Linked DNA regions of Caenorhabditis elegans. The protein of the gene in region 2 purifies or fractionates together with the protein of the main gene of each other region. This does not show direct contact. Each region holds a gene or a part of one and is shown on either strand. Other genes may lie near its edges.

What was found.
Region 1: the proteins of Y48G1BM.6 (region 2) and dnj-26 fractionate together in Caenorhabditis elegans (co-fractionation; one large-scale study listed by BioGRID). This does not show direct contact.

The regions. Positions count from the first base shown.
Region 1 is NC_003282.8:12,250,566-12,254,492, forward strand, and holds dnj-26 (J domain-containing protein), read right to left. Parts: upstream 2,115-3,927; 5' UTR 2,084-2,114; coding exon 1,876-2,083; intron 1,748-1,875; coding exon 1,292-1,747; intron 1,170-1,291; coding exon 1,010-1,169; intron 957-1,009; coding exon 683-956; 3' UTR 528-682; downstream 1-527.
Region 2 is NC_003279.8:235,566-239,492, forward strand, and holds the start of Y48G1BM.6 (uncharacterized protein), read right to left. Parts: upstream 2,034-3,927; 5' UTR 1,966-2,033; intron 1,102-1,965; coding exon 955-1,101; intron 880-954; coding exon 688-879; exon of another isoform or gene 1-687.

The DNA.
Region 1 (3,927 bases), on a different chromosome or scaffold from region 2:
GCCAGCATAAGAATATTTTTCAAAACGGGCCAATTTTCTTGTATTCTTATGCTGACTTCTTTGTCAGCATAAGAAGATTTCAATGTACTGGGCGCCAGCATAAGAAGAAACGACAGCATAAGAATAGACAAAAAACCATTGACAGCATAAGAAGACGTCAGCATAAGAATATGACAGCATAGGAATATTGGGCGCATTTATATGGCCGTATTTTTTATTGGGAGATTTATTTATTTTTCCTAATTTTAAAAATTAATATCTGACTTAAAATTAACTTTTTTAAAAATGTTTCTTCGGGGATTTGTTTGGAATTTTGAGAGCTTTCAGAATTTAATTACAAAATTGTTCTAGGTGCCAGAAGCTTCGAGTTCAATCAAAAAAACTGAAATTCAGGCATTTATATGACCGTATTTTTTATTGGGAGATTTATTTATAACCCGTTCTCCCTTAATCAGCAACTTTCTTCTAAGTTTTTATTTACTTTAAAAACATTATATTTTGTATTTTGATACGTTAAAAAGACTTCAAAAATTTCTAAAATTTTTATTATAATATTAAATACAAGCGATAACAATTCTTGTAAACTGGAAATCCAACAAAAACAAATACAAAATTAATTCAGAAAAAAAAACATTTTTGAGTGATTTGATAAAACCCGACTCTAATATTGAGCTGCTGATGATTAAAACGTTGTCAAAAAGCTCCAAATCCAACATGGCACTCCTTTCGAAAAGCTCCACAAGAAACCAAAACAGCTCGAAACTACTTCAGCAGTAATTGAAATCGTTTTTAAAACAACAGGAATTGCTATCCTTGTAACACTTTTCCAGGAAAGGTTCACGATCAATTGGAATATTTTCCATGAGATCCAACAAAATACTCCAAAAATTCCAGCTATGATTCTCAAATATGTTATGACAAGGTTGAAAACAGTTCGCAAAAGGCTTCCGGTGTACCTGAAAAAGAAAATTTTCATTTTTTTTTGGATAAGGAATATTGAAAAACTCACATTCCATGTACAATTAATCCAAATAGAACAATCGTCACTACAATGAAAAAGATAACAACAAGATACTCCTCTTTCTCAACATCGGAATTATGAGATTTATCGTGAAAAGGCTCATTGCTGGTAGAGTGTGGATTTGAACTTGACGAATATTTGAATCCATCTGAAAATACATTTGTTCATGAAGATCGGGAAAAAAAGGATTCAGCAAAATAATGAATAAATTCACATTCCACATTTCGACTTGAACGAAAAATACTACTAAAAATATAAAAATCATCATACCTGTATATTCTTCATGTCGTCGCCTTGCGTACTGATTTTGTTGTTGTTGCTGATAAGACTGATAATTTCTATAAACAAAATCCTCGTAATCATCAGCACTTCCTGTATTCCAACTAAATCCACTTTTCTCTTCACGATAATCCTTTCTTGTATTATTAAAATTATTCTGATTTGAATATGGATTTGATTTCTTATTTTTAGTCTTTTGGTGATTGGATTGATGGTTCTTACTGTTGTGGTCCTGTTTGAATGATGAATTTTGCTCATTTCTTTTTCCATTACTTGGCTCAGATTTCTTGTGGTTTTGTCTTTGAGTATTTGAATATTCCTGTTTTCGTTGATTTTTATTACGATTACAACGCTTATAAAGATTCTCATTTGATGTTTCAGCGTTTTGTAGATCATACTGTCTTCGCTTGGCCGGATCCATAAGAAGTGAAAATGCATTATTGACAACTGAAATTTTGAATTCGGATTAAGATTTTTAAACACTTAATTAAGAAATTGATGGAAGTTTTTTTTTTTCATTTATATTTTCAGTCATTACAAGAAAGTTGTTCAATTTCAGATATTTTTGAGCTCACCTTTCGATGCTTCAGTAGCACTTGGATGCTTGCATTTGTCCGGATGAACTTCTCGAATTCGTTTTCTAAATGCAATACGAATCTCGTCTGGACTGGCTTTCTTATCAACGTTGAGGATTTTGTAGAAATCCTTGCACTGGCAAATATTTCCAACCAAGTCTTTTTGCTCTTTTGTGTAATCGGATTTTGCAGATTTTGGTATTGGCATTTCAACGATAGAGTCACTGTTGTGCTGAAAAAACTTGGTTTATATGTAAATTTTTCAGAGAGGAAAACAGTGGAATATTACGATTTTGCTAAAAGTAAAATGTTAGAACAGTTTTGAAGAATTAATTTCACATTTTTAGTTTTTAAAAACAGGAATACGGTTTTTTTTAATTTGAATGTTTTTTGGTTTGTACATTGACAACTTTATTTCTATACTTCCCAATTTGAATATCAGAGGAATTATTACCAGAAAATAGCAAAATTAAATGGAAAGTAAACAAACATGTTTCATTGTTCTGACATAAAAAAACGAATTTTCGAAAGTTTTATGTTAGTTGGGCACGAAAAAAATATTTTTCAAAAAAAACCCGATAAAAACCGACAAAAATGAAGAAAATTAGTTGATAAAACATAAATCGGCACGAAAGAAAGTTTAAATAGATTGGCTAATCTCGTAAATCGACACGAACACAGTTCGCTCCAATGAGACGTCTCTGGCGCGCATTTGAAAAATCTTTGGGTGCACAAAAAAATTCGCAATTGAAGTTTAAAATCAGGGATTTTTAAAAAAATGTTTTCACATCGATATTCGAATTCAGGGATAAATTCGGAGTCGTTTAATTTTCCATATTTCGGTACCGATCTTCCACCATTATGAAGCTGGAAGTTTAGAGGAGTTATTGCTTCAATGGGAGCTTTCCGAACTTACCGAGTAGTTTTATATTTTCAATCGAAACCTGTAGATTTTTTGTAGTAGTTGTGTAATATCCTCTCATTTTAAAATTAAATCAAATTTCTGTTTAAACTTGATGGGCATTTTTAATGTTAAGGCTTAGTTAGAAATTGTAATTTCCTAATCCTAAAAATACAAGTGCATGCCGCACGTTTTCATTTTTACTTCTTAAAAAGGTCCTTTTAAAATGATGCACAAGTGCCTTTTTTTGAGAACTATATCTTCTGAACTGAACAGTTTTGTTGTTATGGAAATCAGAATTGTAGCTCAAAAAAGATCAGAGAAAATTGAAAAAATTCAAGTTGAAAAGCTGGCAAAGGAATGTATATAAAAACAACAATATGAACTAAAAAGAAAAGTGACAGAGTTTGGAAATAAGTTGAGTTGTTCAGGAAACATATTTTTTAATTGATTCGCAAGTGTTCCAAAATTGTTCAGTCCACGTTTCAATGGTGCTCGATTCATAGTTTCTACTGGCCCAAAGTTGCTCCATCAAAGTTTTCAATAAATTCATTATGTCTTTAATTTCATTTGAGCTGCTCCAAAATTGTGGCAAATACTGTTTTACTACTTGATCTTTTACTACGCATCTCTTTTACTACAGGATCTCTTTTACTACGGAATCTCTTTTACTACGAATTCCACATCTAGATCTTTTACTACAATTGGATCTTTTACTACGGAATCTCTTTTACTACGAATTCCACATCTAGATCTTTTACTACAATTGGATCTTTTACTACGGAATCTCTTTTACTACGGTTTACCAACATAGCTCTTTTACTACAGTACGAAAATTTTCAATTTAAGAATTAAATTTTCAACAACATTATGCCGGCAAACACTCATTGACTACCTTCTCATTGACTACCTTTGCTCATTGACTACCTCTATCTAATAAAATTTTCCAAAATTTTTTTTGAAAACTTTTCAAAATTTGATCAGAAAAATGCAATGTTTGTAGTTTTTCTAGTTTGGATGTTCTGCACACGATTGCAGACGAAAACCTGAGGTTTAGTAGAACACCTAAGCTCAAAAAACGCACTCACTTCGGATGCTGATATCTCCGTGGAAAAATTTTTTATGACAAAGTGATCAACTACAAAGTTGTT
Region 2 (3,927 bases):
TTTTCCATCTGACTTAGAGATAATCCGCATTTTGATAAAAAGTCAACGGCCTCAAAGTTTGAAAGCTTGTTTTTGTAGCTTTGATTCTCTTCTGAATTCAGGAATTTTGTGAATTTTCGAATAAATTGTCCGACGTCATCCTCGAGGCAGATTTCGTGTTGAAGCAAGTGAAGAGCTTTGCGAAATCGATTTTTGATACAACTTTTGCTTCTTAGATTCGAAATATTAACTTTAAAAGCTGATTTTTTAAGGTTTTCAACTTCTTCGGCGTGTCTTTGTAGACTCAGAACCATAGCTTTGCCACTTTTCTTCACATCTGCACAGCTTCTCACCAATCGACCTTCTATACCACTGACGATCGTTCGTATATTGCATACTTCCATTTGCAGCGAAGAATTAGATGCTCTTATAGTGATATTTTCATGGCGGACTATTTGCATTTCTTCCGAAAACACCGCAAACTCATCAATCCGCTTTTGTATTTCTTCTGATATTTCATTTTTTTCATTTTTCAGTCGTTCGATCGTTAGTCGGAGCATTTTGATCTGCGGAATTTGCTCAACATTGGAGATTATTCGAACCCTCGGTGTACTGAACGAGTTTCGTAAAGGTGTCGGTGGAAATACGGGATTGGAGAATCTCAGCAAAATCATATAATATTAGTTTTGAAATATTGAAAAAAATTACATTGTGAGAAAAAGTCGGAATTTCGTCACTAAAATCCATTTCCACGTCTCTCGTCAGAATTCCTTCATCCATATTGAAACAATTTGACGACCTGCATGTAGTTGCGGAGCTACTGGAAGCAATGTCGGGATGGTGGGAGTTTCGATCTTCTGAACTGATTTCCTGATTAGCCTGTGGCGACGAGCTGCACGTCTGAAAATCACGTTTTTGAAGTTAGAACAAACTACTCCAACTTAATTAAAGTTGACAAAATTGAGCTGAACGAACCTCCACTTTCGAATTGTTCAGTTCTTCCTCTTCAGTTTGATCTTTTGAAACTCCATTAGCACTGTTCCTTGCTCTCTGGGCATTTGCTAAAAGAAGGCCTGCACAAGATTTTTCTTTTCTTTTTTGTTTGAAGTATACTTTTGTCATCTGGAAATATTGCATGAATATTATAAGGGAAACAATTTTTAAATATCGATTTTCACGAAATTTGAAAAAATCAATAATTTGGGCGCATGATATTGAGCTGAATGTTTCGAATTTAGAATCAGCATGCTTTTATTCATATTTTAGGATCTTTTTAAAAAATCTGGACCAACAGTTTTTGAAAAAAAAATACTTTTCGTTCAGAAATGTACTGATTTTCCACTGATTTTCACGAAATTTGAAAAAATCAATAATTTAGGCGCATGATATTGAGCTGAATGTTTTGAATTTAGAATCAGCATGCTTTTATTCATATTTTAGGATCTTTTTAAAAAATCTGGACCAACAGTTTTCGAAAAAATTCAATTTTTGTTCAGAAATGTGAATATTCACTAAATCGAAAAAAATAATTGCAAAATCCGTCGGCTGAACATTCAAAACTTATCAATTTGAAATCAGCATATTTCAGTGTATAATTAAAAAAGGTTTCAAAAATTCTGAGACCAATTTTTGTTGAGAAAAATAATTTTTCGTTCGAATTATCGATTTTTCACGAAATGCCAAAAACAGTAAACTTGGGCCCATGCTAAAAGCCTGAATCTTTCAAATTAAAAACCAGCATGATTTTTTCTATATTCTAAGACGTTTAAAAAAAATCTGGACCAACAGTTCTTGAGGAAAGTAATTTTTTATACAAAAATGTGCTGATTTTTCACTAAATTCAAAAAAATAATCAAGTTGGGCCCATGCTATACACCTAAATCATTAAAATTCAGAACCGCCATGTATGTATTTTTTCATACCATAGGCTCTTTAAAAAAAATCTGGACCAACAGTTTTTGAGATATGTCAAAAAAAACAACTCACTTTTTGACGTTTTTCGCCTTTTCGCGGATGATGCGGTCGATTTTTGCGGCGATTTGTGGTCTTTCGCTGAAAATATTATTTTTATTTCAATTTTTAACGAAGAAAACAAGAAAAAACGACGAGAAAACATCAAAAAACACGAAAAAAACGTCGAAAAACTCCCGCAACCTCATGAAAAAAAATAAAGCACTGCAGCCGCGGGACTAGTTTTCGCAACTTTCTAGGCCATGTCCCGTTCGCCGTGCCGTGTCTTGTCGTGGTGGTGTGAAGTGTGTTGGTGTGAAGCGTGTGAGTACGGTAGGCTGCTGCAGATGTGGTGTGAGCTGTAAAAAATCGAAATAATTCAAGAATTACGACGATTTTCGTATTTTGAGAAGAAGAAAATTTTAAATCACGAAAATTCGAGAGAAAAAATGATCAAATTCAGTCTCAGAAGCGAAAAATGAACTTCTTTGTCTGGAAAACAGCGGTTGCTCGTGAGAAAAAATGTTTAAAATTGAAGAAGATCAACAAAAACAAAAAAAGACACGTAAATGCAACTTGTTTTTAAAGGTCGTGGCCGCGTCGCGGTCGCGCCGCGTGCGCACTTTTGTAGAAGACTCCGCCCCCTTTTTTCTTGGCGCCGTGCCAATTTTTAGAAGGAAGAGCGTTTTTGGTTGAAATAATCGATTTTCGACGAGAAAATAGACTAAATCAAGTATGGTGAATCTGATTAAAGGCATATTAACTTTGTAAACTGCACAATTAACTAGAAATCGTACTATAACCGAATATAGTCAAAGGGTCGCTCAGTTCCCCCGGTCTAGAGTCCCAGGTTCATCTTTCGAGCTGTTTCCTGAGAAATTGTACAGGATTTGTCTGAGTCGTGAACTGAACACGCTTTTCAGGTAAACGTCGTCTGGATGTCCTGGAAATCAAATGTTAGTCTTTGTATCGATGGAAAACATGGTTTTCTCAAGGAAATAGTCGGAAAGTCGGTCGATGCACCATGTTGTGGCACCACGGAGTGGCGGAAGACCGAACCCTTTAAGCCTCAAGAGGAACCGAGCAACGAAGACTATGTCAGAGGTGCAGCATGGCATCGTCTATTTGTATATGTATTGGAAAGAACAGAACACAGTTTTAATAAATATGTTTATTACTCCAAAGGGGAGATAATCAACAGAGGGGAGTGGGTCGTACACAAGAGAGAGGGAATTGTCTGGTGTGAGAATATCACGTCCTGCCACGCGGGTCTTTAGTCTGAAAAGGTCGAGTGTATGAATAGTCGGGGTCTTTGCAGACTCGTAGAATAATGTCTTTGGTCAACTACACTTTCCAAATAAAGGGAGGGAAAGGTAGGAAACGTCGGCAATTAGTCTGACTGGGAGCTGTCAATAACGGGGGGGGGGGGGGGGGGGGAAGAGACCAGCAAAACCGAACCAAGAGTGGGGAGGAGAGTTCCTTTCCTGGTGCCACCGACGCTGCAGCTCGCTCCGTATCGTCGCTCATTGAGTCGCCGCGCAGCCAATCGTTGCTACGGGGCGCGAGTGTAACTCTCGTTAGAGAGCGTGTGGGAGCAAGAGACGCAGAAATACAGTAAACTTCTCCTAACTGTATGGTAAGCTTAAGAGCTGGTCTTAAAAGGTCGAATTGAATGTACCCCTCGCTCGGAGAACTGCTGAAGCAGTCGAGAGCGAGACATTGTGAAATGGGCGATACAGCAGAGCCCAGTTCACAACAATCAGACTAACTGGCACTTACGTATAAATAATATTATGGGTTTCGTCGCTCCCCCTCCAAATGTTTTAAAAACGATTTAAAACATAATTTATACTGTTTTTTTTTACTACTGACCAATGAAAGTTCATGGTTGATAACATAAATCCCCACATTTTCAGAAAAATGGATAAGCAGAAAAAAAGTTATTAATGAACTCATAATTTTCATCGAAATTAGCCAGCTTTAGTTTCGGTGTATTAC